4 linked regions of the Lepisosteus oculatus genome follow. The protein of the gene in region 3 interacts with the protein of the main gene of each other region in a pairwise test. Links are inferred from orthologs where the notes say so. Each region holds a gene or a part of one and is shown on either strand. Other genes may lie near its edges. The genes, in order: nme7, krt94, tchp and ndor1.

What was found.
Region 1: the proteins of tchp (region 3) and nme7 interact in binary tests that used the Homo sapiens proteins (3 or more experiments, as listed by UniProt). The two-hybrid records come from large-scale screens. The link is inferred for Lepisosteus oculatus from reciprocal best matches to the Homo sapiens genes TCHP and NME7.
Region 2: the proteins of tchp (region 3) and krt94 interact in binary tests that used the Homo sapiens proteins (3 or more experiments, as listed by UniProt). The link is inferred for Lepisosteus oculatus from reciprocal best matches to the Homo sapiens genes TCHP and KRT16.
Region 4: the proteins of tchp (region 3) and ndor1 interact in binary tests that used the Homo sapiens proteins (3 or more experiments, as listed by UniProt). The two-hybrid records come from large-scale screens. The link is inferred for Lepisosteus oculatus from reciprocal best matches to the Homo sapiens genes TCHP and NDOR1.

What each region holds. Positions count from the first base shown.
Region 1 is NC_090710.1:23,186,032-23,193,526, forward strand, and holds the start of nme7 (nucleoside diphosphate kinase homolog 7), read left to right. Parts: upstream 1-4,491; 5' UTR 4,492-4,789; coding exon 4,790-4,807; intron 4,808-4,978; exon of another isoform or gene 4,979-5,002; intron 5,003-7,495. Other genes in the region: homocysteine S-methyltransferase, read right to left, coding at 339-439, 579-751, 1,345-1,412, 1,671-1,756, 3,011-3,059, 3,302-3,382. UniProt on the Homo sapiens protein: Possesses an intrinsic kinase activity. Displays 3'-5' exonuclease activity with a preference for single-stranded DNA. Does not seem to have nucleoside diphosphate kinase activity.
Region 2 is NC_090723.1:10,006,736-10,013,718, reverse strand, and holds the start of krt94 (keratin 94), read left to right. Parts: upstream 1-3,971; 5' UTR 3,972-4,188; coding exon 4,189-4,716; intron 4,717-5,893; coding exon 5,894-5,976; intron 5,977-6,538; coding exon 6,539-6,695; intron 6,696-6,983. UniProt on the Homo sapiens protein: Epidermis-specific type I keratin that plays a key role in skin. Acts as a regulator of innate immunity in response to skin barrier breach: required for some inflammatory checkpoint for the skin barrier maintenance.
Region 3 is NC_090717.1:5,755,802-5,763,735, reverse strand, and holds the start of tchp (trichoplein keratin filament-binding protein), read left to right. Parts: upstream 1-4,919; 5' UTR 4,920-5,070; intron 5,071-5,547; 5' UTR 5,548-5,560; coding exon 5,561-5,751; intron 5,752-6,365; coding exon 6,366-6,576; intron 6,577-6,829; coding exon 6,830-6,886; intron 6,887-7,505; coding exon 7,506-7,574; intron 7,575-7,934. Other genes in the region: gltpa (glycolipid transfer protein), read right to left, coding at 3,291-3,393. UniProt on the Homo sapiens protein: Tumor suppressor which has the ability to inhibit cell growth and be pro-apoptotic during cell stress. Inhibits cell growth in bladder and prostate cancer cells by a down-regulation of HSPB1 by inhibiting its phosphorylation.
Region 4 is NC_090719.1:2,813,985-2,821,079, reverse strand, and holds the start of ndor1 (NADPH-dependent diflavin oxidoreductase 1), read left to right. Parts: upstream 1-4,083; 5' UTR 4,084-4,147; coding exon 4,148-4,325; intron 4,326-4,425; coding exon 4,426-4,615; intron 4,616-4,820; coding exon of another isoform or gene 4,821-4,983; intron 4,984-6,401; coding exon 6,402-6,479; intron 6,480-6,607; coding exon of another isoform or gene 6,608-6,723; intron 6,724-7,076; coding exon of another isoform or gene 7,077-7,079; exon of another isoform or gene 7,080-7,095. Other genes in the region: slc2a8 (solute carrier family 2, facilitated glucose transporter member 8), read right to left, coding at 118-300, 979-1,087, 2,053-2,202, 2,827-3,038, 3,355-3,454, 4,821-4,983, 6,608-6,723, 7,077-7,079. UniProt on the Homo sapiens protein: NADPH-dependent reductase which is a central component of the cytosolic iron-sulfur (Fe-S) protein assembly (CIA) machinery.

The sequences.
Region 1 (7,495 bases), on a different chromosome or scaffold from region 3:
AGTTATGGAACACACCAGGAAAGTGTGATTTTGGTTAAGAAAAAGATTCAAATAAATCACATTTTCACCTAGGATAATGACAGTGGATGGACCACAAATGTCCTACAGAGTTCACACTGCAACACGCCTGCCAAGAACCTTCCCAGAGAAACCTCTTTCTCTTCCTCTTTCTCTGAGCCATGGCTAACTTGCAGTGTGATTAAATCTGGTGCACATTACTCTTATACTTATTTACTTATTATTACTTATTTCATTAAAATAAAATGCACATTACTCTTTCAACAGAGTGTTTCAGTAGACAAACAAATACATTAAAAACAAGAATTAGCTTGTATTACCTCTATACTCATTCCCTCCTCGTAAGATCCCGTGTACTCAGAGCCATCTGACAGAAATGCTCCATAGGGTCCAACAGAGCCAGCAACTAGTAGCACCTTTTCTTCAGAGGATCAGAAACCGTGTTTTCTTAAACCAGTAGCTTAATCAATACATCACAAGGATTATATTCCAGACATCGGATATATGTTGAACTATGGAAAATATAGATGTCATTTCTTACAAAAAGAAGCTGCATTTACCTGGCTGAAGACAGTTCACCTTGAACTCCTGCACTGTCTCTCTAGCTATCTGAACACCTGACATCAGTAGCTGAATTGCTTCTTCTGAAGTCAGACCCAAGTGCTTGATAAATCCTTCCACGCTTGCCTGATATGTAGCTGTTGTGACAACATCAGAACCACTACAAAGAAATCTACAGAACAATAAAAGTATTACTGCTTTTTGTCAGCACTACCTACAGTATGTCAGTGGTAGCCAACCCACATCCTGGAGGGAAATAAACAAGTATGTTTTATGGGTCATCCTTAAATCATCAGTTTCTTGACACTTGATAGTATTTTATCACTGAATCAGATAGTTTCAAGATCATCAGAAAAGAAAACACCTGTAGCTCTCCAGTATAACAGTTGGCCACTCGTGTCTTAATTGAACAAATTCCATTGCTTAATTGATCAAACTGTTCACATCTCTCGTGTCCCATGTTTTTGCAAATTAATGATTTAAGGGTGACCTTTAAGAGCTGCTGGATAGTGGCTCTCCAAGACCAGGGTTTGCCTGTAGTACCCTTGATCTACCCACTGTATATGTTCATTCAATGTATATCACATGGTATGCTTTAAATGAAAGAGTACTATATCCAGAAAAAAACTTGTTCTTATGAATATACAGAAACAATAAACATCACACCTTTACCACTATTTTTGATGTATTTGCACATTTTATGTAAAACTTAAAATAATAAAATACAGTGTGTGTATGAAGTGAAAACTCTGGGCTAGGTTTTACCTGTAATGGGCATCTTTCACAGCCTGGGGGTTAGTGTGCAGAATCCTAGCACTCCACAGTGGATCCCCCTGGAAAAGTGAAACATTATAGTATTTGTCTAGCATTACTGTGCCTTACTGCCTTTCATCTTATTTTACATATATTACAAATGACTGTGGGCTCTCAAACATCATGAAAATAAATGGATATATTTCTAACTGTATGAGTATAATAAATTGATACAGTACATAAGAACAAATTGCTTGAGGTGTAAAACATGTAAAATATACAGAAGCAATAAACCAAAGTTACCTAGTCCAGGTTTACTGTATAAATCATTAATGTACCTGTATCTTTACACCAGCTGCTTCCAGCTCTGTTGCCAATCCACCATCCAGAATGACTATTTTGCCATCCATGTTCATTTTTCTTTCTGAAAAAAACATTTTTAAAACAGCTTTAGCAGATCTATGTCTCAAAGATGGTTACTGAATATAAATATTTCGCTATAAAATGTCACATAACAACATGCAGGTATTCAACTTCAGGGTTTCTAAATATAACCTAAAATTAATGACATGAAATGACAGAAAGCCTTGTAGCACCCGATTCTGACCATGTATCAATCAAGAGTTCTGGTGAAACAGATTATGACTCAAATGTACAATTAGTCATATTATCTGGAATAGTTCAGTGTTTTAGCACCACCTAGACACGTAGAACAGGGTTAAAAAAACTTTTTACAGAGGAGAGATGCAGTTGTATCTGGTAAAATAAACAAGTAATGCTTTCAGAGATATTTTACCTTGTAAAAATGTCATGATGTGTATAAATCTAACAACCACTTTAATATTCACACAATATTATGTGTGAAATGCATTAATCTGGCCTGTTATGTGTATTCTGCAGACTGGTTATTACAAAATAATATATAAAAAAAAGTATAGAAAAAATGTTACAAATTTGGAATTAAGCACAAAATAACGAACCTTGTGAAATGACTAAGTCACCAGGTTGTCACAAACCCCAGGTCTCACCATGGTCGAGAGAGTTCCCACAAATTGTGTCATGTAGCAGCCCTTCATGCTCGCTAGTCACTGTATTGACTCACGTAATGCGATGTACGAGAAAATAAGTACAGGTTGTGGAGCAGAGATTTCACCACAGCAATATTACAACTGTGATCTGCACGCAGAGTTAAGAAGTCCCATTTATCCGCAAAACCGTTTCCAAGTCACGAGCAATATTTCTATTGGATTCACAAGCCTACTTGTTCACAATGTAGTGGAGCCGCTTTCCCTCACCGTATGTTTTTTGTTGCTTAGTCTTGAATCGCAGAATATGGCGCTGTGCTTACCTGGAAAGGTCGTACCTTTTGTGATGTAAATTGAAGGTTTTACAACTTACTGTGTACATTTGAATTATTGGCGCTCGTTCTTTCAAAAAACCGAAATATCAAAATAGCGTTGCAGTTCTTTAAGAATCTGTGGAACTGCTCTTTAACCTGCAAATAGGCAGAATCGCATGAAAGCCTAACTGTATTGTGATTTGAGAAAACAGTACATTTGTACAAGTGTATTGCGTATTGAGAAACTTCAGGTCACATTTTGATTTTACATCTTAAGCTTTAAGAAAACTTGAACTTAAAGCATGTGAACTAATGCTTGCGGCTCCCATAACGACGTACCTTTCCCCCAGTTCCTCTGACTCTGTCCTCGGTCGTATTGTAACTGTCTCTGCAAGGAAAACACATGCCTTTTTATTTCCACAGCAACTCTACTATACTCGAACAATATAAAAAGAGAAAACAAAACAGAGCTGTCCAAAAACACACTTCTACATCTATTGTACTGTATTTAAATTAACATAACAATGACATACTAAGGACTGTATTTACATGAACAGAAACATTATATACTAAGGCTGCCATCTGGTCGGTTTTTAAGCGAGAATACTGCAAAGAATGGAACCTATATACCTTTCGGCTGATTTTATTAAAGCCGGCCAAGAGTTCAAAAGGGCAGGCTAAACATACACAGACGGAACAAGATCTTTGCATGATCGTTTTATTAAATGTAAGGGTTTAATTCTGACAGCTCTCCTTTAAGACAGTGATATAAGGTTTCATTTAAAGTGTCAAATACTTTAATTAATAAAATATATTATATAATACATGAAGATTACATACATTGAAGACTCACAGTTACGTATTAAGAAAAGAAAACAAAGATGACGACAAACGCGTCACAACAACACACACCGCCTTGTTCATAATAACCTTTAAGGTCATAGAAATACTTCCTCCCTTGACAAGCGTCACCTCGCAATTTGTTAGTTAGATACTATAAATCAAACAATCAAATGTTTTCATTTATGAAAATAAAAGCTATATATATATACTTTACTTTTAGCTTTTGTTGCTATTTTTTTTCGCCAGCGCGCGCGTGTTTCCGTACGCTTCGTTACATTGTTGCTATGGTGATGAACCCGGACAGATGCCGCGGGTTGACTGACTAAACGAGCGAGCACAGACCCTTCAGGATGGTGAGCAATATTTTGTTTTGTTTTTTTATCTGTTGCATGGATTTTATATTTCATTTAACCCATTATATATATTTATGTTTGTTAACGTTTAAGGTCGAATTGTAATTGTAAGTTATACTGGAAAAGGAGGTTTTGATCTCTTGTTTTCTTCACTTTCCTGTATTTTTAAATCACTTAAGAAAACGACTTTCAAAAAGCACATAAGGGAATAAACTGGGATACCTATATCATAGCTAAATTCGGGAAGCTCTTTTTTTGTTAGCCAAGACGTCTATAGCTTATCAAAGTATGTTTATTGAGACACTTAAAAATGGCTCGTAATTTGGTAATGTTTCTGATGTTGACTATGATATCTTCTCAGTTTTGTCCCGAAGCATTTATTTGTAGCTCCAGCTCCTGCATCACTCTGTTTTGTAGTTTTGCAGTGTGTAGCGATCACAAGGTTTATAATTTAGCCTATTCTTACTCTTAAAGAACAGTTTGTGACGTTGCGTCTCTTTATAGCTATAGTGCCTCTTTGTGCACACTGTTGGTGGTTACATGATATATAACGAGGGTACAATAGTTATAAAAATAGTTGCATGTCAGTAGACGCAGTAGTCGTGCCTCATAAACAAGGCACTAGCGACTGTAATGTTTACTTCTACAGCACTTGGATACACAGCATTCATAATGAAGTGGTAAAGAGCTTCCTACTGTCGTCGTAAACAGATTTTGTTCTGAAGGGACATTCAGCATTGTTTCACAACAGTTGTTAACAGATCTACAGATCTGCAGCGGCAGTGTATTAATTGGGGACGAATCCCTGAGGTATCCACGTACACGTATGTAAATAACTTCGTCTCGTATTCTGTATGATCATAACCGAATAAAGTCAGGTCCTGCCGTTAAGATCCAGCGGAGGACGACGCATTCCTGCAGGATGCAAGGCTTTTCAGAGGTCAGATATTTGCCTTATGATGAAAATCAAACACTCACATCAGATTCATTGCGATTGCTCTAAATGCGAGGACGTCGAGTCTCATTGTGTTACGAGAGTGACGTTACACCGTGCTCTTGAAAAGCGTGGCTTTCCCTGAAAATTGACGAGAAAAACTAAATAAGTGCTTACATCCCCCGCAGATGCTTTTACGTTTGGCCGTAGTCCTCGAAGGTGATAACCTGCCTTGAAGTATCCGTGTTTTTACTGCTTCCTTAGCTCACGCTCATCCTTAGTTCAGCTGTACCGCTAGGTGTCACATTTGCTCCTTTTACTAATTTTTGAAAAGCAAAATTTCAATGTTTTGTTTTTCCTGCTCACTAAAGGGCAAAGCTCTGAATAATGACTAGTAAACAGATGTTGACTATGATCCTTTTTATATACCTGCAGAACAAAGAACAGCAGGTATACCAAAGCATTTACCCGGTTATCATAGTCAATGAACGTCCTGGAAACAAGTAAATCTAAAATGTTATTTTGGGGGGGGTCATGCTGTGCTCTGCTTTTGTACAGTTCGGGGGGAAGTAGTCAGCCAGAAACAAATGACAGTATGCAAATTAATTCTGTGAACTACATCATTCATGGTTTGAAGACGTGCATGGAAGCCAAGGGCTTCCCAAGAGTCATGGGCTTGAACATAGATTCGGAAAGCGACATCATGGTTAAAGCTGCGTTAAGTTTTAGTCCACAGCAGTTAATAGTTAATTGCATGACATTCCTCTCATACATGTTACAAGTGAGTTGCTTGTAACATTTTGGAGAACTGAATCCTATTGCGTTTAACCAACATATTTAACATGGTTCGGCCACATCTTCCGAACATCCAAACCTCATGTGTGATTTTATCATCCTTCTGTAAGTGCTGTTACTTAACCTGCTATCTCACATTTGTGTGTGTCATTAGAGTGGCATTCTGGTTTATTGAGGTTGGCTTTCTCGTGTCAGATTCTCCACAATTTGATTACCTGTAAAAAGCCCAAGTATTCTTCTACTTGTCAAACACGTTTTTTTGTTTTTTTTTTTTTATCTTGGCATGAGGTATGACTGTGGGATAAAATGTATCCATACAGATTGGAAATTGTTGATTGAAAAGGCACGGGCAATTTCAGTCCACATTCTGAAAGTTCTTCTGTAACTGCAGAGATGGTAGTGATTATAACAAAAGGGATTCTTTTCAGTCTCCACTGATGTTCCATGTGCAATTTATATGAAGGTACAGCAATAAGAAACACTGATGTCAAGCTGGTCTCCATTTCAGGCACCTTTTAGTTCATGGAGCAAAATGATATAATAGTGCTTGAACACCGCAGGTCTGCCTGTCAAGCTGCTGATTTGGACTTTTTAGTTGATGTCTGATTTTTTTTTTGTTTTGTTTAATTTTAAATAATTTGAACGGATTTTTAAATAGAAACAATACTAGGTAGGGCATTCACACAAAATAATTGAAAATCATTAAAATTTCATGCACTTAGAGACAGCCACTTTTTGAGACCCTACAAATCAAATCTGCTGAGTTGTGACATCGGTGGTGCCTACAGCACGAGGCTGTTAGGAGAATAGCTTCTATGTCTACTGCTTGTGTTAAAGCACTTGCTTTTGACAGAATGATGCTGTTAAAAGCCAAGTGAGCTTTTTCTGGAGTCATTCCTAGAGTTATTAGAGCATTTGAGGAAAAATCTTCCTTACTGCGAACCATTTTTCACCAGTGTTTTCAGGATCTGCCCCCTGCCTGCTCGACCATAAATTAGGACTGTGTTTACTTCCTGATTTCCTAGTCAGCCACAGCTGCTGTTTCCCATGGGTGTGCACTGCCTGTGCAGCTTCTCTGTGGGAGCGCAGCACTGCACACCTTTTCTGTCTCATCTGCCTCTCGCTCGGCATGCGGGTTCACAATATTCCTCACAGATCCGCTGCTGGTTCCACCACAGTGGTAGATTATTACAGTATGACAGAGCCAAGCACGAGGGCGAAACACTCCATAACCCTTCCTGGCAGCCCTAGGAGATAAGCAGACTAGTTTGAAAGATTGAACAAGTTCACTATTACACATACTAATTCAGCAGACAGTGGCTAAATTTTGTGCTGCCTCTCCTGCTCCTGCACCTGCAGTCAGCCCCTCATCCTGGACCTGGATTTCCCTTGGATGAAGAGTCTTAACTCCCACTTTGCCAAGGACCCTGGACTTCTCTGTGCTTCAATACCAGTCCTCCTTAAAAGCACCGCACCTTTATAGCAGGGCACACCTCAGATCACCAACCTGCTGATAGAATGAAAAGCACAGATTCTTCCAGCAAGGTAAAAGTTCAGGGTCAGCCACAGCTTCAACCACTTTTGGAAACTTCTACCTCCCAGAAAGCACTCATCTGCCCACCCACTGAAGGCAGCTTTTCCAAAGAATCTTTCCACTGTCCAGCCCGCAGTGATTCCCGAGCTTCATGACTTCCCAATGCCTTCCCAAGAGCTACGCCTCTTGACATTTCTGTGCTGGATCCAGAGCTCAAAGTTCTGCCCTCTGTCAGTGGTGGAGGGGACAGTGAATGCGTAACAAGCCAGCTTTTCTCAGACGCCCTGCCTGACAGTGATGGTCCCTCTTACTGTCCAGACGAAGTTGCTTCACTTGGGGCCAGGAATCCCATCCACCTGGGCCTC
Region 2 (6,983 bases), on a different chromosome or scaffold from region 3:
AGAGGAGTCCAAAAGGGGAATCCAAAAGGGGGCAAAAGTCCAAAGCCGGGCAGTCCATCCAAGACAGACGAGATTAAAACAAGAACCGGGTCAGGACCGGCACGGGAATGGGAACAGGAACAGGAACCTTGACGGGACCTGGCGCTTCCAGGTCCTGGACTCGCCTGGTACAGGACCCGATGCAGAGCCCGGAACAGAGTAGAGATCTGGCTTTTAAAGGGGGCTGGAACAGGGAGCAGGTGCGGGAGATGAGTGAAAAACAAGGAAGGGCTGGAGCGCCCTTAAGAGGAGGGGTTTACGATTGTGACACAGGGGCCCCGGGTCACGCACTCCCCCCTCGAATTCTGCAGCATAATCTATGTACTGGACCAGGAATCTTGTTAAATGTGAGAAACGGGGCGGAGCGGTGGCTCTGTGGCTCAGGATCTGAGCCTGTGGCTGGAAGGTTGCCGGTTCAAATCCCACAGCTGGCAGAGGAATCCTACTCCATTGGGCTCCTGAGCAAGGCCCTTAACCCCAACTGCTCCAGGGGTGCCGTACAATGGCTGACCCTGCGCTCTGACCCCCAGCTTCTCTCCCTGTCTGTGTGTCTCATGGAGAGCAAGCTGGGGTTGGTGAAAAGACAAATTCCTAATGCAAGCAATTGTAAAGGGTGAATAAAGTGATGTTATACACAATGAGTGGAAGAAGCAGGGACAGCTGGGTGCAGTGATGTGACCTGGGCTGCGAGAGAGATGGCCAGCCTTCAAGCAGCTGACACGGGCCTGGGAAAGCTTTTATCAAGCTGTCAGCCACACGCAAGGGACCGCCACGCCTCCTGGTATTATATTTCCATGTTTCAAGGTTTCGACATCCATGACAGGTGTCATGGTTCCCTGTTTACAGAAAAAAATCTGGACTTTCTAGCTCCTGACAAAGGAGCGATTCAGAAGGAGAATTGAGACAAATTGCTCACCTGAGGAGTCTGTGTTGGGCAAGTCATGATTTGGGCTACTTCCAATTTCCAAGGCAACGCAGACAATAAATACCTCCAGCACAAGCTGAGGCAGCCCTGAGCTGGGAAAGTGCAGAAAGACGTTTCTAAACGCCCCCTAAAAGCCGACATGAATGTGAGAGCAAAGCCAGACTCTGCACTGACACAAACATCAATTACAGGGTGATCCTTACAGCTTTGATATTCATCTACAGTTTCAATTCTAGAAGGAACCTGTATAATGAATATACAGTTGCAGACTAAATTGTAATGACTGGTTGGTAACTTATATTTAAAATAAAATCAGTGGCAAATAGTCACTATAATGATCAATAGTCAAACAGTCTCTCTCCAAAGTCGATCATTCTTTCAGATAACTGAGATTGTAAGATATTTTTCCTGTTTCTTAGTTCTCTTTCTTCTTTTTTTCAGGTGTTCTTGCTACAGTCTCATTTCTCCAGGTTGAGAGCATCGCTGTGTGACAGTGGTGACTTGTTTTACTAACAGTTCTCCAAGTGAAAACTACAAAAACACATCCACGTTTTATAGATTATTAAAGACTCCTGGTCAGCTTTGTACTACATCACCAAAATGCCTGAACCACCCAGCCAGTAATGTTTGGGCTTGCTTCGTTTGTCCTTGACACTGTGTACACACAGAGAAGTATGTGGAATTTTTAATTCATTCATTTAATTCATTTTTAATGCATTCAGTTCCTTCTGCATAGACATAAATACCTGGAGACCAGACTTTAGAAGCTTTGAGAAATATATGAATATGGCGAAAATGTGCTTCATGCAGAACAAAACTTTTAGAATCAGAAGGGCAGGTTGCTTCAGTCTCAGAGGTGCTGCAGCCCAGGACAGCAAGCGCTGAGCAGGGGTGTGCCGGCTGTTCCTCAGAGGTCAGATAAGGTATGTTAGAGCTGGCTGCACCCTGCACACACCTCCCTCTGTCATCTCCCCAGGGGTCAAGGTTCAGTCCCTACAGGCAGTCAAAGCCTCCTTATCAGATGGCGTTTGATGTTTAGGATTTTGTATTTTGGGGCTGAGTAGGGGAGAAATGGGGGTTGGTGAGGAGAAACAGGAATCTGGAAATTCTGATAGATTGAAATATACAGATCGTTTTCCTGCAGCTCCCTATTCGTTTCCTGCCCTGTTCAGGAACAAGCCGGCTGGGCTCCCCTGCCCGAACAGGTCCCTGAACTTTGGGATGATGGGATTAGTAGATTAATTATCTAGTGAACAGGGCCATTTGGAGAAATGACTCTGCTACACTTTTGCACTACTCAGAATATTTGTTTTCTAATATTTCATTTCATTATTTGAGTTATTAAATGCACAACCACAAAAGGAAACATTTTTCTATTATTATTTTGGTAACAGACACCCGAATTGCTGGTGTGTATAATCTAACTAAAGTATACGAGTAAACTAAACAGATAAAAAGGCACAGGAAACAGAGTACATACCAAGCTGACTACACACCTGGGGAAAGACAAGCCTAGCAGCAGCAGAGATGTGCAGGTGCCCAGCAGTGAGGTATTACAGTCTAATTACAAGGCCAGTCTATGGGGGGGGGGGGGGACATTTGGACACAACATGGTCAATCACAGCGTGACTGTTTATAGATACAGTATCAGCGCAAGGGAGAAGTTCTTCCTGCGGTTTCTCACATGCCTGTAGATGGACGTTGCTGGATGGGAGCACTAGGGTGGGACACGCTCCAGTGAGATGACTCGTCTCGTTAAGATGGGGTACTTCTCGAAACTTCCCAGGGCGTTTCTCGAAAAGAGTAGGGGTGTAACCCCTCGGCGTCCTGGCCAAATTTCCCATTGGCCCTTACCAATCATGGCCTCCTAATAATCCCCATCTCTGAACTGGCTTCATCACTCTGCTCTCCTCCCCACTGAGAGCTGGTGTGTGGTGAGCGTTCTGGCGCACTATGGCTGCTGTCGCATCATCCAGGTGGGGCTGCACACTGGTGGTGGTGGAGGGGATCCCCATGACCTGTAAAGGGGTTTGAGTGGAGTGTCCAGAAAAGCGCTATATAAGTGTAAGCAGTTATTATTATTACTTCTCGTTAAGACGAGGCAGAAGAGACAGGAATTGTGAACTTGTTTCTCTTGCTCTGTCTGTGAACAGCAGGAGAGAGCCCAGGTTAAGCCCTGTGTTGAGGTGGGGGTAGGGTGGTGTGGGGCACAGAGTCCAACACTCTCTGAGCCTCCTGTACAGTTCGCCGTGCCGCTAAATTACAAAGCTCCGAAATGAGGGCAAAACACTTAAACTGCCCATGGTGGCCGAATCTTGGTGGTGTGCACATGAGGGGATTGTGTTGTCTGATACAGACCAACTGTAATTTGGAATAATTAGGTATGGCCTGTATTTAAAATGTGTTTTTCTATTGTACATCCAGAGCAATAGCATGAACAACCTGTATCGGTCAGTACAACCAGAGACTTCCTTCCAGCCACCATGAGGTGTGGGTTGGTGGCCCCCAATGCAGAGTTTCAGAACAAATAGCAGCTCTAAACAGATGTTCATCAAAACACAAGGCTGAAGCTGAGACGGAATGGGGAAGACCACCTCCCTTTTTGGAAAAGAAATCTGTTCATGTCTGCCTGTGTCCATGTCATGTCCAGCCCCAAAAAAAGGAAATCCAGATTCTCGAATTGAAATATACAGATCGTTCTCCTGTGGCTCCCTGGTCTCTCTCTGCTCTGCCAGGGGCGCCTCGTTCCCAGACCGCGGTGCTCCTGGGCGTGGAGAGATTTTACAGCCTGCGGGGACGCAGCGCCGTGTTTGGATAAGGAGGGACCCACGCCCAGCGCTCGCAGGCTCGGGAGCCGGAGAGCAGGTCTTCCTGGTGTTCGCTGTTCGACAGGGCGCAATGCAGAGCAGGCGAAAAAAACAGAAGAGCTGGCAGGCAGGCACAAGCATATCTCTCCAGTTCTCTCATTGGGCAAGAAACTAATCCGGATCATTTAAGAAACATTCCAGCAGGTCGCCCCGCCTCTGCCGAGCACTCTGCAGCCCCCCCCAGGATCCGAGACGGGAGGAGGACTGTTGCCCAGCGGCCTCCCCTCCACACCCAGTGCGCACTATATCAGGGGGAGGCGGACAGGGCTGCGCTGCAGTCTCCTGAATCTCCAGGCTCAGGTGCTCCAGTAGCGGTTCAGGGATTCGGCAGCTCTTCCTCTCCTCCTCACCAGCAGCATGTCCATGTACAGAATGAGCAGTGGCCCGCGCTCCAGCACGGTGACCACCAAGCGGGTCAGCATGGTGTCCTCTGCGCCCAAGGCCCTCAGCATGTACGGAGGCCTGGGGGACAGGGCCCGCATCTCCGCCTCCTCTGCCCGCTCCGTGTCCTCGGGATTCGGAGCAGGCTACGGGAGCGCGGGAGGGGGCTTCGGTTCCGGAGGCAGCTTCGGCTTTGGAGGAGGCTTCAGTTCAGGTGGCGGCTACGGTTCTGGTGGCGGCTACGGTTCTGGTGGCGGCTACGGTTCTGGAGGCGGCTTCAGCCTGTCCAACTCCCGGGACTCCGACCCGGTGTCTCTGAACGAGAAGGCCACCATGCAGAACCTGAACGACCGCCTGGCCAGCTACCTGGATAAGGTGCGCTCGCTGGAGGCCGCCAACGGCGAGCTGGAGCTGAAGATCCGGGAGTTCTACGAGAAGAAGGGACCCGCTGCCGAGCGTGACTACAGCCCCTACTGGAAGACCATCAACGACCTGAAAGACAAGGTAACTCACCTGGGCTCCCTGCCCCTCATGGGTCGGTGCACCATCATACTGCATGCTCTGATAGGTACAAGCATGCTGTGACTATGACTAACGTCTGGCTGTTGTTGTGACCTTCTTTGTGGAAGCATGGTTGTCCTGTGATGGATACATCACAGCCACACTTGTTATCATAGGGTGCCCACAACTGTCTTTAGTGACCTTTAGTTGTGAGGCTGACAGAGCTGTGTCGAAGGGAGGCAAGCACTGCACTGCATGGACAGGGTGAGAACAGGGACAGAGAGCAAAAGGCTCAACCTGTTTTTATTGTGAGGGAATGATATTATGCTTTAAACCAGAGTTACAATGTCATGTGTCTTACAAAACGTGGCATGTTTACAAAAGGGCAAAACATTTCTATAAAAATGCCTCGGTTGAACTTAAACAAGAGAGGAAAAGCGAAGAGGAGAAAGGAAAGGTAGTAAAGTATTCTGCCCTGTGCGTATCTGAGGGATCGTCAGGCTGATGCAGCAGGTGTGGCAGGTAGAGATCTCCTACTGCACCTGTCTGGTGTTTCTGATGCTCCAGGCTACAATGTTGTGGATGTGCAGTAGAGGGAGGTGTACAGTCAGGTTCTGAGCATTGACTGCTCTAGCCAGTTATCAGCACAATGTTTCTGCTTCTCTCAAGAGCATAAATTCTCACTACATGATCTTCTGAGAGCACCAGTCACTGAAACAGTCACACTTCAGATACAGCATCCGAAGAGCAAGCACCACTTCCTAAAGCAGTTTGCACAAGTAAACATCACGAGAGAAACTCTTAACAGTCCTGACGGGTCTGAATAAAAGTCAAGGGCTTAATTTATTTTATAAGATATATAAACTTGCACCGCAGGCTCCTAGAACAGGAGAGGACAAAAGGAACAAACACACAGATCAGTAAATGCAGGTGTGTTTCTGTGACAGATAGGCTAGGGAAAGAAAAGATCAGCCCCACCTCCGTTGACTTTGACCTGAGTGCAGGAACCTGGCCAAAACTCTGCTGGCACTGAGCTCACAGAGGCTGCAGAGCCCAGCCTGGGTGTTATCACCTGGGCGTTTCCCACTGTCTGTCCTGTGTGTGCTGTCCCGAGCACCAGGAATGGGCTGTAGCTCTTCTCCATCCAACATGAAGGTTATCTTTCCTGCTTCTGTTCCAGATTGCCGATGCCACCATCGACAATGCCAAGATCCTCCTGCAGATTGACAACTCCAAGCTGGCGGCTGACGACTTCAGGACCAAGTAAGGACAGTTTGCATTTCTCTCTCGAGAGAGAATAAAGTCTTACAAGAAATTTCCCTGAAATCAATGCAAATGATTTGGATTTGTGAGAGATTTTCTTATATGTGTGAGGCTGAAGACACCACTGGTATCCAGTTGAGCTTCCACTAGTGTTTTCTAGCAGATGTGAGTGCGAACGAGGATGAACTTCCACTAAGGGAGACACGTGGTGGACAACCACCTTGATTCTACATATGGTTCCATAGCTGTCTGGGTACTAGGATACAGAAGAGTTCATTTCTGTAATTATTGGAAAGTTTGAGGTAGATCTTTCCTGTTAATAATTCCGGAAGAGCAACCCACTTGGGTTCCTGTAAGAGAAAACTACTATCTACACCTTGTTGATAAAGCCAGACCAACCCAAAACCTCCTCAGATCCCCAGATTCCAGTTTCCCAACCCGGTATTGTCCCAGCATGTCCCTGCAGAGTCCTAGGGCACAGATCCTATAGGTTATGCCAACCACACCACGCCCTGCCCCCCCAACCCTGTCCTCACATCTCGCCCCCCCCTGTCCTGCACAGGTACGAGCACGAGCTCATGATGAGGCAGTCGGTGGAGGCTGACATCGCCAACCTGCGCCGCCTGCTGGACCAGACCACCCTCACCAAGGCTGACCTGGAGATGCAGATCGAGAGCCTGAAGGATGAGCTGGCCTACCTCAGGAAGAACCACGAGGAGGTACGCCCGGCGCCCCAACCCCACCCAGCAGTATCAAACACGCAGTAATACCAAGCTTCCACTGAGGGAGACGTCTCACTTTGACCCTGTTCAGTCTGGGAGCCTGTTTCTCCAAAGGCACAGGACTGATGTGGTTTTGCTCGTATTATTTCTTAGCTGTTTTTAAATAAGTGTGTTGTATCTGAAGGTCAGCCTCAAGAATGGACCCAGGGCTCTGTGCAAGATAAAGCAACAGGTGGCTCTGGGCTCTTGTTATCATCCTCTCTCTCTTCCCACACGTGTTTCAAT
Region 3 (7,934 bases):
TCCTTTCACATTGTCATGCTACACGGTTCACCTTTATGAGGAATTCACCAATCTCAACAAAGTGGTTCCCAATCCTGATAGTCCCAATCCCAATCCTGATCTTGGTGACCCCCACCCCTGCTGGACCATCCCACCTTCATTAGATAAAGGAACAAGTGAAGGTTTATTCCATGCTGAAAAGAAAAGACACAATGTTTCGGCCCGAAGGAGCTCCCCAGCCGAAAGGATCTGTCTATTCTTTTCCTTTCAGCATGGAATAAACCCACCCTTGTTCCATTGCAGCCTACACATGCCGACGCAGCCACCTACTTGAACGTCTTCATTAGATTACTGAATTCTTAGTTGGTCTAAGAAGCTGCTTCGTTGAAATATTTGCCTTTTGTTTCTAGTCACAGGTTTGGGGTTTTTATTTCACTTTCAAAATACCATGGTTAAAGGTCCAGCATATTTAAGAGCTGGGAACAAACAGTTCAAATTAATCTGCTTAAGAAGGGCACATCCATTCCAGGCAAAAATGGCCTCTGGATGCCTAAAAGATTAAGGCATGTTAAAGGCGATGTCTCACAGTATAAAGCTGCTATAGGGAATCTGTGGCTCACGGGAAATGTTGTGATTGGCTTCGAATAGGTTTGCAATGTCACTGCCCCTCATTGAGAGCCGAAAAATCATTTCAGCCTTCACATTTCAGTGGTTACCACTGAGGAAAGGCTGTGTGGAAGTACAGAATGGATATGTGTGACTGTGTTGTGAATCAGAATGAGGACAGACGTTTATTTTCGAATTTTACCTCCTCGGGATGTCTCCAATTGAAACGTCTAGTTGTAACGTCAGGTGCCTGATTTTGTATTCTCACTAAGATCAGGGTGATGCTCAGAGAAACAAAAGTCCGTATTAGGAGCTTTTAAGAGGATTGTAGAAAGAGCGTTCTAGGACAGCATCCTTGAACAATCTTTGTAATATGAACAGCATGTGGGAAAAAAGCAGATTAATCTGCTTTAGAGGTTATGTAAAAGAACTGTCCCTACCACCCAGTAAAAGCCACTCACTGTAGGAGTTAGGTCAGGAAACATGAAGCATTTGCCTTCCTTTTTACAGCAGATTGTATGTCCAAATCTGCTGAAATAATTTCTGTAAGGTTTGTATACAATATTTTCCAGCTTAAAGCCAATACATTGGTGGTATGTTTGACCTTGATGGAAATCTGTCTGCGTTGTGAAATCTGTCTGGTTATTTAAAGTGGCACCGGGCACCAGGTAGAGATTAAACTACTGCTGTTGGTTTCAAATGCACACATACACTCAGCAGGAGATAAGTCACTGAGAAAGTGTTTTGGAAAAGCACTGGAGTCTTTGGGACATGAGATATTCTATGTACAGTAGTATATAATGCAGCATCAATGCTTAATAGGAGTCAGTCTCCAATTTCCATTCCTTTGTTCTGTTTCGTCTAACAAGAGTATGCTGTAAAGACAATACGCCCCTCACCATTTTATGTATATTGGGGACCCACACACACAAAGAAAACAATGCAATCACACATTAAAATATCGATTACCAACCTTGAAAGACCAGTCTTCAAATGGTAACAAAATGAAACAAAGGACAGTTAAACAGGTAAAACAAAGCATACATCAGATAACTGAGGTACGCCCCTCCTTACAGACCCATCTCCCGTCAGGGAGACCCCTGTGCTACAATCACAATGCCCGTGTCTGCTCATCACTTCAGAACATAACAGGAAATCAGGCAATGATGGGTTTTATACACTCCAAGAGTATACTACATTCACATTCCAGTTGATTAGAGCTGCCTAGTCATTAAAAATGGAAAGTGCTGCTCTGTGCCTTTTACTATATTGTGGCCTTAAAATAAAATCTGTTCTCCATTTAAAGTAAGGCATAGGTGTGTTTAATATGTTGCAAATATCAGAACCTTCAGTCACTTACCCCAGAGTCAATGACTTCCCTAACCCCACCAGGTCTATACAGAACTTAAGTCTTTAAACTGTATTTTATAGATGAAGTGTAGATAAGTGTAGCTATCAAAACAGAATGAGTGTCTATCCAACAACGAGCAGGATAAAACGATTTTGTTATTTTTTTATACACAACATGAGAAGGGACTTTTGAGCTACCCCGTTACAGAATGTGTTCCTTTATAAAGCAGTCGTTAGTCTGTTGAATAACAGTAATTAAACGAGTACTTGTTCATTCTGGGTCAACCCATCGTAGTGAAGCGTGGGATTACTATCAGGCTGTAAATATAGATTAGACAAGCAGTGCGCTTCTCACGTTTAAAGGCAGCATCTTATGTTTACAGCCCGGGATCCAGATACCACCAGGCTCAGGCTATCAGGTTCTTCATTTGGATGTTGAAGCCGGAGAAAGTGAAGAAGATTAAGCAAAGATAAGCGGCAGTTCTATGTTATCGAGACCCTGTAATCTGTTCAATTTCTCTTAAATAAATGTAGGTTTAAATTTCCTCTGCAGTTCTAGGTAGTAAAACCGTTCATGCAGTTGATTTAAAATGCCATTGGACAATTAATAGGAAATACTAATTAATCGAATAATTAATTAGTTACTAACTGCTGATTATTTGGCATTAACAACAATATATGCCAAGCAGCCAAAACGATAAATATACCTCAAGCAGCGCGGCTGTTATGTCTCTTACGATTGTACTGTATTCAAAGAAGAAACGATGTTGCGGTGTAGTGCAGTTCTGCACGTTTTCAGCGGAGTTTCATTTATTGCAATTCTGGTAATCATTGCGTACAGGGCAAGCAGCACTCTGAAACCTCTTTTTTTTTTCTTAACACATGCAGAGCACAAATCTCAAACACGGAACATCACTGAATCTTACAGTAAGCTTCGCCTCCGACCAAGCATTCATCTTGAAGTTACCGAGGCAAAGTTAGACTAAACTTCACGGAGCAGCTGAATGAAAATATTTAACTTCCGATCGTTTAAAAAATGCTACTATTAAGCACTGATATAACAGACCACAACGTAGCGATAAAACTCTTTGTTTACCTGACCGTGGTCAGATTAAATCTTATAAAGAAGCTGGAGCATTAAAACACATTTCCAAAGTGCGTGCATAAAGTGAAGAGACTTCAAGGTGATTTAAAAAAATGGATAATACGACTTCAAGCGATTTAGATCCTTATGTGGAAACACAAAGATAACACTACAACACACCCCGAGATCGCTTTGTTTACAGAAAGGAATGGCATCCGTTGCTAAAAAGGTGATTTGTCCTCCCTGCCCAGGTGAATTTAAAGAAACTTACCGAAGAAAGACGGAAGGTACGACACCGACTCCAAAAACGATCTGGTATCCACTTGCTTATCGGCTGGAAGCTGTTTAAACTGATGCTCCGCTAGAAGAGCCATGGTGCGCGACTGTCACGGCAAAACCGTAATTTAAAACTCGTCAATCGAGGGGGAAATAAAGCTTCAAAAACAGAAACCCGGAACTGTCAGAGAGAGCGCTTGTGTGGTGGAGTAGAGGAGCGACTGAACTGACAGCTCGGGGGGCCGCACAGCGAGCGAGTGGCTCCAGCTGGATTTTCGGATTAGCCTATCAGGTGCAAGGTGGGCGGGACAACACCAGCCAATACCGAAAAGAAACTCCCAGAGCCGTGCGGCACAGACCTACCTGGAACCTTCTGTACCTACAGTACTCGTTGAACTGTGGTCCTTGAGTTTAAACATGGTTCCAAAAAGGAAAACAAAAATTGAGACAGTACAGGGCTCACATCAGGCATGTTGTATCATATTGAATGTCCGGAGGATTTGATTCGTGTGAAGAAAAGGTTTTTACAAGTGTAGATGTACATAATCTCCCCTTTCGCTTTATGGTTTTAGATGAGAGATTTCTATCTAAACGTTTCCTCTGTAAAAGACAAAGAAAGAAACAAATAGATAAGCGAGTAAATAAATTATAAAACGATATATTTTTTTGTTTGCTACATGGTCAAAACGTTGAATTATAAAAATGCCAAAAATAATTAAGCAGCTCTTCAAAAATATGTCGTGATGATTCAATATCTGATAAATCAATCACTATATATACAGTATGTTTAATAATGGGTACTTTTCAAGTCTTATTTGCATTATTTGTATTATTTGCGTTAAAGATATATGCGACACTTAAATGTACTAAAGCAGAACATTGCAAGGGATCAATAATTCAGAGGACCCAACTCCTCACATTCTAAACTTGTGAAAGGGCTTTTCTTTTAATTTATTTATATCCTCTTTACCCTTTAACTGACAATTTCGATATCTGACAACACTTCTAGGGTATAATTAGCCATGGTTATCTGTTCATCATGAAACATTCATAGCTGCTCTATATTTAATGCGGGGCAGACAATGAAATTGAACGAAGCATATTTAATCTTTGTCTCCTACATTCACCAGACAGGTATATCCTATATTGTTGTGATTTACAGTGACTGGTGAATGACTGGTGACGTAAATTTCTACTTTCTTTCTAATTTAAAATTAAATAAAACGCGAAGCTATTATAGGAGCAAACCACGCACACTAAATACTAAATGTTGGATGCTCTATTTAAAAAAAATTAACATTTCAAAGCAAGCAAGTCATAAAACAGTGGGTTTTTAGGTGCTATCTTTGGCATTTCAAGACAAAGTTCAGCTAAACATGTGCCTAAAACGCGTTTCTCTGAGAATTTCTAGCGAGACAAAATGTAGAGTTGCCACCAACCCAGAAAAGTCCATTATATCTGCCATTTCATGCAATTTGTTTGAACAATTATTGTGATCAGCCTTTAAGTGCAGATTCAACGCAGGCTATGGACATCCAGAATGTCGGTTTCGAAACATTAGTTAAGAACACGGGAAACGTCTAAGCATGTGCTTTGTCCCTTACGGCATCCGTAGTGTAACCAGGAAGTTAAACCGGTTACCAAGTGAAACAGGAAATAGCCGAAAGGAACTGTCGCCAACTGAAATTTCTGAAATTTGAAGTTGGAACAAGCTTCCACTTGGAATAAAGCCTACCTTACTGCGTTATTGAAAACGTGATAATCATATTTCTACAGTGAGTATTTGCCTCTTAGACGAATTGTCCCCTTTTGCATGAACTACAAATTCGCATTATATTGATTTCGAGTGCTTATGAAACCAGATGTTTAAACCAAGTCAATATGTCTCACATGAACATTACAATAGTACATCGCGATGTATGTTAGTTTAAAATCGCAGGGGATAAGAACAGTACGATACCACTGTTAAACATAACGCGTAACATCTAAACATTTATCTATGCAATATTGTTGAATACTTGCTTATTTGTGTACGGTAACGCATTTAATAATGTAGAAGTCTAAAGGTGAATGAGTTGTTATTGTCATTTTTAGTGCAAGGAAACTAGGAATACCCATTGTAAAGTTTAATAATGGTAATAAGGGTGTAGAATATAATCATCTGTGGTCCTGTGACATTCTGTTTTAGTATTGATTGATGTTTGAAAGGAAAGGGTTCCTACATTACAATGAACGTTTGTTTTTTTTTTAAGGTGCAGGAAACAGATGGCTCTTCCCACCCTCTCGATGCGCTGTCCGAGCCGCTCTCGAGTTCTGGAGCAGCAGATCGTGCGACAGCGGGAGCAGGAGGCTCGCTTCCGGCAGCAGTGGGAGCTGCACTCGCAGTATTTCAAACAGAACAACGTGCGGAGCAGCAAGCAAGCCCAGTGGAGCTCCCGACAGTCTTACCACCAGAGGTGATTCAGCAAACCTCTTTCAACAATGTGTTTTATTAACCTCAATGTGCTGGACAACGATGAATCGTTGATTTTGCTTTTTGTTTACACGCGCTTTGCTTGGCAAAGTGCTTTGGGATGTTCAGTATGTGGTGTTTGAGACCCATCGAGGATAATTTGCTGGGATGGAATTAGATCACTCTTATAAAACAGTCATTCCCTTCTACAGGCGTTCAATCCTTTTTAGAACTAAGATAAAAAATAGGAAAAACGTTATTTTCATATATACCCGTTGCAATAAAGCAAGATTCCTTGATTCTTGCCTTGATCTTTAAAAAAGAGCGTGAGAAAGGTTACAAGTTAGAGGAGGACATGCAGCACAACTAGCTCATGTAGCTGTTTATAACTCATAGATCCGAGGGTTTCATCCAGCAATTTCGTGAACAATGTCAGGGTATCGCGCTTAACAACATGGTTGGGCAGCTTATTCCGTAAAGTTATGTGGAGAAAAAAAAGGACTCCTGTGTTCAGTTTTAAAAGTGCTTTCATATTCCACTGGTCTACTAATAATTCTTAGCCTTGTGAACTGCTGAGTTTTCCCATTTAAGTATTGGCAGCCTCTCTCCTGTTGCCAGCATGACAGCCTACCATCAGGAGAAAGTGAAGGAGGAGAAGAAGAGGAGTCTGGAGCAGCGCAGGGCCCGTCTCCGAGCCTTCCTGCAGGAGGAGAGGGACCAGCTGGAGGCTGAGCTCAGAGAACTGGTCCCCGACAGAGAGACGCTGGCCAAACAGATGACAGAGAGGATGGAGGGGCTCAGGACATCCAGGGAAGAGCGGAGAAAGAAGGTACAAGCAGTGCTCACGTTACAGAAACCAGTTCCTGTAGTTTGAAGTAAGCAGGGAAATATTTCAGCCTGATCCAGCCCTGACATAATCAATCGTGTTATTGTGGGATTCGTGCGAAAGATAAAGGTTCAGGGTGAGACAGAACAAAGACAGCTGGTGCCAAGCTATGACTGGGAGAAAACAGTGGCCTGATCATCGAGTTAGCTGCATTCTTGTTGGCAATCCTTAATGCAGTTTTTGATTTTGGTCACAGGTGGCAGAGGAGCTGTTGCAGGAGCATTGGAAGAGAAATAATTCAGATTTACGTCAGGTACAGTTTGTTTTTCTATGCTTTATGTGGTAAAAGCATGGTCTGAAAGTTTATTTGCAAACATCACTTTGTTATTTACTTGTATTTTGAGGTACATGCAGAAGGCATCCAGTTATATGAAATTTGTTCATCTCTAGTATTTCTGTATCCTACGTGTTACATTCTGAAAGGTAGGGTACTCTTACTAACTGCAATGAATCTTAAGGATCAGTTTTTAAAATGTTAATGTTGTTCTGAGTCCTTGAAATACAGCAAAATTAAAGAGAACCACATGGTGTGAAAGTGTGAGGAGAAGTGCGTCAAGGTGTTGACTTGATCCTGAAACTAATAGGCCATTGACATCATTGTTCCATGACAGTGTGTAATCCTGACCCTAGGATTGAGTTCCTGTCCCATAATGATAAATTATTTCTTCAGAGACCTGCTACCTGCAGCAGGGGATTTTGCAGAATCAATTGAAGCCTAAGAGACTGTTTTTTTTAATTTAAATAGACATATATACAGCTTAATATGCAATTGTTTTGACATAAAAGTTTTATCTGACTTTCTGTCTTCTTAGTGTTAGGTGTTAAAGTTAGGAAAGAAATCCTTAACGTCCCCTTATACTTTTATATTCTAGGTTGAATCAGCATTGCACAAGGACCATGTAGTGAACAGCTGGCAGGTGCAAACGAGAGAAAAAAAACAGGTACCTGCACCATCACCATTAATTAACATTTGCCCCTATGCCTTATTGAGAGGCATAGGGTAATCTAATACCAGTTCTTGCTTAACTTTGCAGAAAAGCAAAATGCACTGGCACCTAACATTTGAAATGAATGTTCTTTCAATATCTCCTGTTAACAATTATGCTTTTACTGAAGTCTGAGTAAATGTATCATGAAGTTAGATGTCATTTGAAGAATGCCATGGCCCCTCATACATCTCCCTGGTGGTCAGGCAGTATGACTTGGGTTAATTGTACATATCGCTGTGTGACACTCCATTGTAATACATCCTGTGAAACTCAGGCTGAGTCTAAGAGCCACAGGTCTCTGGCCACTGACCT
Region 4 (7,095 bases), on a different chromosome or scaffold from region 3:
GGTGACCATGGGTGGGAGCAGCGTGGGCACAGTCCCGTTCCCGGATTTTCTCTGCGAACGCGAATCTTGAGAAAAAAGAACCCTGGTTTTGGAGGCCAAGTCTTCCTGAGGCTGTACCTGCGATGAAGAGCCCCATGCTGGCCAGGGCCAGCCAGGCCAGGCTGCCCTCAGAGGGGGGCAGCGCAGAGCTCTGGGCGGCCAGGAGGGGGACCCCGCTCAGAGAGGAGCCGTTGGTGGGCGCGGCGCTGGTGATCTTGAAGTACGCCCCAAACACGGCCGTGCTGACCGCCATGGCCAACCCTGCGGACACACGGTGGGGGAGAAGGACAGCCAGCATTACCATCACCAGCCCGGGGGGGGGGCGCTCAGTCCTGGGCAATGCAGGGGTACCGGGGGTTCAAGTCTCCAGCACAGATATTGCTGTGGACATTGTACCCCACATGAGCCAGGTACTGCACCCCGAATGCTCCAGTCAGCCCCACGTGTATACAGGAATATCGGCATTACTGACAATGGACTAGCGCCCTCTACAGGGCAAGACTTGGAACTCTGCTTAATACAACACAAAGACAATTTGTTAATTGGATCTTCCCTGCAAGCCCAGTACAATACCAATCACACACTGTGCGTAACAGTGTAACCCCAGTGTCCTGGCCAGATTCCCCCCTGGCCTTTACCAGTCATGGCCTCCTAATAACCCCCCTCTCTGCTCTCCTCCCTCTGAGAGCTGGTGTGTGGGGAGCGGACTGAGGCACTCTGGCTGCCATCGCATCATCAAGGTGGGGGGGGGTTACACATTGGTGGTGACAGTGGGATTGCCCATTCCCTGTAAAGTGCTTTGAGTGGAGTATCTAGAAAAGCGTGGTGTAAGTGTAAGGGTATAATTACGATTAATTATTTAACTGCTGGTGCTTTGCAGGATCAATGTAACAGTCTGCGTTAAAAGTCAGAGACCGCATCGGCCCCGGAGAGACTCACCCGAGAGGACGAGCAGGACTTTCCTCCCGGCCCGGTCCATGATGAGCGCCGCCAGGGCCGTGAAGACCACCTGGATGGCAGCCACGATCACCGTGGCGACGCTGCTGGCCTTTTGAAACAAACAAAAAAAAACAACCCGCCGTTAAGCTCATGGCACCGATCCCTGGAATCCGGCCTGCGGATCGATCCGGCGGGGCTCCCTCGGCCGTCTACAGCCTTGGGAGATGCCTCCCCCCACCTCCCGGTCCTCCAGCCAGAGCAGGGAGGGGAGGGGGGGGGTGTTCCCGCACATGGCCGGCCCGAAAGTCGAGTACGGAGCTCGAGAAATATGTCCTTCCCCATCGAAGGAGCGGCACCCGGCATGCAACGTACTGCACCACGGTCGCCGGTCAGCACTCCGTAACCATCCGGGTTCTTCCCCCCCCAGGACACCGCAGTGGGGAAACTGCGGACAGCGGAGCGATATTTGAGTACGTTGGGCTGCTGTTCCCAACACCAGCCTGGACACGGCACCCTGAGGGGATGCCTATGGAATTTACAGGCGGTCACGGACTACTCCGGAAACACGGGGACGTCTGCGAACAAGGATGCTGGGTTCTGGCACCAGACTTGAGGTTTACTCATTAACAGTGACACAGGCTCTCCCTCGTTAACCTTCTCCTGGCTGACTTCAGTTCGTTTCTTGAGCTGAAGATGAGCGTCCAAGCAAAGGAACGGAAATATCGAGGGAACTGGTAAAACGTTGACAACGCCCACGGGGGATGTCCACCGCACTCTGCCGCACCCGGCCAACGCGGAAGGGAAAACGGGAGGCGTCAGCGGAGCTCGTTCGGGCGCGGCCACGCCATCTCCCTCCTCGTGCGTCGCAGGGACCTCAGCCACCTGGGCTGGGGGGGGGTCTCCTTTAGCTCACTCGGCTGGTTCCCTGTGGCGTCACGCCGGGAGACCCGGGTTCGCGCCCCAGGTGTTGCGGGACGAACTGGCGGGGTGGGGTGGAGGGGCGAGGGCGACACGAGGAGCCCAGACTGTGTCTGTGGCGTGACGGCAAAGGGGGGGAGGGCGAGGGGCAGCTACCTGGAAGTTTGCTTCTTCGAAAATGGTCTCGGCGTAGAACATGATGGCGTTGATCCCCGTGAGCTGCTGGAACAACATCAGCAGGACCCCGATGAGCAGGGGCTTGTAGATGGCAGGGCTCCTCAGGTCTCCCAGCTTGAGGCTGTCGCCCTGCGACACCCGAGGGGGTGGGAGGGAGGGAAACGCGTTAAACAGCAAATGGGGCCCAGACAGACGGCATGCAAACAGCGTGGCGCAACTCAGCGCCGCTCTCCGCTGCACTGAGCGTGCACCCCGAGGCCGGGACAGGCTGAACAGGTGTAAGAGGGGCCAGCAGGGGGCGCTCACCCTGCAGTCTGCGTGGGCCCTAATGCCCCAGTACAGTGACGGGGACACTATACTTGTCCTTCGGATGAGATGTAAAACTGAGGTTTTGACTCTCTATGGTTATTAGAAATCCCAGGGCGTTTCTCAAAAAGAGTAGGGGTGTCCTGGCCAAATTTCCCCCTGGCCTTTACCAATCATGGCCTCCTCATAATCCCCGTCTCTGAACTGGCTTCATCACTCTGCTCACATCCCCACTGAGAGCTGGTGTGGGGGGAGCGTACTGGCGCCTCATCCAGGTGGGGCTGCACATTGGTGGCGGCAGTGGGATTCCCCATGACCTGTAAATCGCTTTGAGTGGAGTGTCCAGAAAAGTGCCATATACAGCAAGTGTGAGGGATTAATAATGATAATAATATCATAACTTCATCTTTACAGTCTTGGCAAGGTGCCCCCCCCCCCCCGACTCACCTGCTCCCGCGCCGCGGCCTCGATCTGCACGCACTCCCACTCGTGCGGCACGGCCGGCCCCCTCAGGAAGCGCAGGGCCGCCAGCGCCTCGTACTCCCTCCCCTGGGCCAGCAGGAAGCGCGGCGTCTCGGGCATGAAGCACATGAGCACCAGCATCAGCGCCGGCGGCACCGAGCACGCCACCGCCAGCCAGCGCCACTCCAGCACCAGACCTGGGCGGGGAGAGACGCAACCGGGTCGCTCGTTACCACGCCACTCCCCGCCTCGTGGATCGGATCGGGACCAGAGGGGGGGGCAACGACAGCCAGGTAAACCCCACCAACAGCACAGAGTGATCCCGTCTCTCCGTTCAGCCGCGAGGTGAAAACCAAACTCCGGGATGGCACGGGTGCGAACAAGGAGTCTGAGACTCAAGAGTCTTGTGAGAACACGGTTCGTACCCCAGTCGCAAGGCACAGAGAGCGGAAAGGAGGACAGGAAGCGCACCACGGGGGGGAACAAAGAAAACGGACAATCCGAACGGTTTACCTGCGATGTACGCTCCCATGATGCCCGTCACCACCATGAGCTGAACGCAGGATCCCAGCATGCCCCGCACCCGGGCGTGAGCCGTCTCCGCGATGTACAACTGGGGGGGCAGACCGTGCGATCAGTGAAGCAGACGTAGCGGCAGCACTCAGAATTCAAGCGTCGTTAAAGGTTTCGAAACTTCCCGTTGAGCTGACAAACCCCCCCACCCCCACCCCCAGGCCATACCCTGGGCCTCTGTGCAGAGCGCTAGGAGCCCGCGGGGCAGAGAACGACACTTCACCCGATATTTAATTCAACTTTCATGCCGCCCGCCCGGTAACCGCGGCAAGGCCCAGGGATGCTGGGAAACCCGCTGCTCGGGTTTGTCCGCTGGCCTCCCCCGGCAACTGTTTCCAACGGAGCCGTTTTTCCCTGCAATCGGACGCGTTCAACTCTCCTGAAACCCAAACTCGACCTCTTTGGAGGGAAAAAGAGCAGCCCCCCCCCTCCCTTCTGGCAAAACTATTAAACAGACCCCTTTTATTACTATAATGTTATCTCTGCAGAGGCACTACAAACGAACAACTGACCCCCTTATTAATATGCATTAATAAGGAATTTACATACGAGAACAAAGTGGTTTTTCATATCAGACAAGACATAAGTCATTGGCCTCATTAAGACTGCTAATATGTTCTGCGTCACTGCGTTTACTCTCATTATCCCTGCTGCTGCTTTACATACAGGCACTGCTAAGGACGTCACCCCGCTGGCCAGTCCGGTCAGGACCCGTCCGAGGTACAGCATCCAGATGTTCTGCGCGGAGATGATGATGTTGAAGCCGAGGATGAAGGGGACGGCGCAGACCATGAGGCTCAGCTTCCTCCCGATCCTCTCCACCACCCAGCCGCCCAGCACCCCCCCCGCCGCCGCCCCTAGAGTGACCACGGACTGGGGACGCACACGGGGAGACACGGACAGGCGCGGAGGTCAGAGGTCAGAGGTCGAAGGTCCAGGCGGCAGGAGTTTTTAACCCTTTCCGGCCTGAATTTTCGTCTTGGTGTAAAAAACTGGCGGTGTGTGTTTCAGGGTTAAAGAAAACGAGTCGTCCGTCACTCTGTACTCCAGTGTTACCCAGAACCCAGAAAAAACTCTGCCCCGACGCACCCCACTTTCAAATCCGCCACCCGCCCAGGAATCCCAGGAAGAGCTGGTGTTTTCCCAGCACTGCCTTCGGCAAACACAGCTCAGCGCCTGGGGACGCGTCTGCTTTCGGAAGGTAAGACTCAATAATAATAATAATAATAATAATAATAATAATAATAATAATTTTTAACTTATAAAGCACCTTTCCAAAGCTCGAGGACGCTTTGCAAACGCTTCTCTGTCCTGTGCAAGGGAGACGCACTGATCGGCCTTATTACAGATCAATTTTCGATCCCCTGCCCCTTAAATCGAGCGCACCCAGAAAAAGAAAGCCCTACCCCGAACCAGGACGCCTCCTCGTCGTCCAGCTGCAGGCGGGGGTCCCCGGCCCTCTTGAGGCTGGGGATGGCGGGGGAGCTGTAGCCCAGCACGAAGCCGAAACTGAGGGGCCCGAGCACGGCGGCGAAGGTGGCCAGGAACAGGTTCCCATTCTGGACCTGACTGGAAAACACAGCATCGGCTCAGGGGGGCACAGCAGGATTTGAACACGCAGGTTTTCTCCACAGAGGGGGGGGTTGGATCAGTCACGGGGCTTGGCGTTGGGGAGGGGGGGGGCATTAATAAAATATAACTGCTTACACTTAGATAGCGCTTTTCTGGACTCTCCACTCAAAGAGCTTTACAGGTAATGGGGGATCCCACTACCGCCACCAGTGTGCAGCCCCACCTGGATGATGTGCCAGTCCGCTCCCCAAACACCAGCTCTCAGTGGGGAGGAGAACAGAGTGATGGAGCCAGTTCAGAGAGGGGGGTTATTAGGAGGCCGTGACTGGTAAAGGCCAGGGGGAAATTTGGCCAGGACACTGGGGTCAGTGTAGGTCATTCTTTCAAACCAAAGACCTAGTCGCTCTGCTCCGGACCGCTTCCAGAGCAGCGCTGCCTTTTCTGGACTGCGGTGATCAAAATCCTATCAACGCACAACATTCTAAACTGACGGGTTATGTAGAGTTTTAACAATACGCTTGTCGATCCAGGTTCTACCGTTTTAACTGCGCTGTATGTCCTGACTGCGCCTTCGCTATTGCAGCGCGGGAGGTGACGAGCGTGGCTCACGCACGTCTGAGACGGCATCCTGTCTCACCGGTTACACAAGCACCGCTACGTTAGCGGCCGTTAGCGGGCAAAGAGAACGCTACAGCGCACAGCAGCAGACAAAGGACAATCAACTGTTTTCCTGAACTTCAAGGGAAACACAGGCAAAGGTTCTGAACGCCTCTTTATGCAGTTAAATGAGTCAGGGAATTTATTAATGATTGACGAGAGTAACACATTGTACGTGCACACCCCAGATGCTGTAATACTGCTTTTTTTGTTTTGTTTTCCCAAGTCATCTGTTTGGTCTGGATGCCAAGTAAGGATAATTTATTTTAAAGAAATGAAAACAAGACCCGGAGCAATCAATTGCTCATTAAGGGAGGGGGGAGAAGGGGAAAAAGAAATATGAAAAAAGACCTGAATAAGCTTGGCTTCCCCCCCACGTTTTTCCCGACAAAGATTTTTGGTGCAGCCTACTCCAGGACCTCAAACACGACCCCTAATGGTCAAAGCGTCTTTGTGGGACAGTGTAGGTGAACTATCACATGTGAATCACATGACTACAGCATTTCTCTGCGGGGGGGGCTGCCACTGACCTAAATACCGTCAGGTTTTAGTTCAAGCTACATACTTGAGCTCTAAATTACCATCGACAGGGGTGACGCCAAGCGCCCACCTGACAAGAGGAGCGTCTTTCGCCAGCCTGCAAATTTAGAGGACCGCGCACCGGCTTGGGGGGGGGATCGACATCGTGTTTTCGGTTTATCGGCACCCACAACAGCGCCGATGGCCGATGATAACCTCTTCACTTCTGTATTTTACAGCTCGCCCCATAAAGCAGAACTGGCAAGTCAGGGTTTCGATCCTCTCGCCTCACTGTCGACGAGAATTCACCCCCCGAGGTATAAACCGCTATACCGGACTATCTCACCCAAGGGGCAAGCTGAGCAAACGCCGGCCACCCTTAACGCCGGGGCATTTTCATTTTGAACTGTAATAAACGAGGCACCCCCCAGATGCTCGTACTTACTCGAGGTAGCCCTCCCGGGTGCTGTCCGCCTCGGACAGAGGCGGCGAGTTCACGCCTCCGCGCCCGGCCCCCAGCAGCGCCTCCTGTTCCTCGGACTGCTCCATCCTTCGGGACGCCTTCGATACAAAAAACAAAATACAGACAACGAATGAACCGGGGCCTCCCAACACGCCTTCCCGGCAACGGGTTTGGCAGAAACGCGGCGACCCGAGCTCCTGGGCTTTGCGGTAGCCCAAGGCTGTCCCGGCGACCGGCGCAGATGCGCGTCGTGCCGTGCCGTGCCAAAACCGTGCCGTGCTTACTACCATTAAGGGTCGACGGAGCTAGCCAACGTCGTTTTCCCGTGGCGTGCCAAGCAAGCACGCCGTGTGCGGCAACAACAACAACAACAACATCAGAGCATTGAAGAAGAGCTCGGAGTGCTTCTCCAGGTGTCAACTACGAGGAGACAGGGCAGGCGACAGATTACCATTCACCAGCCGCAGACG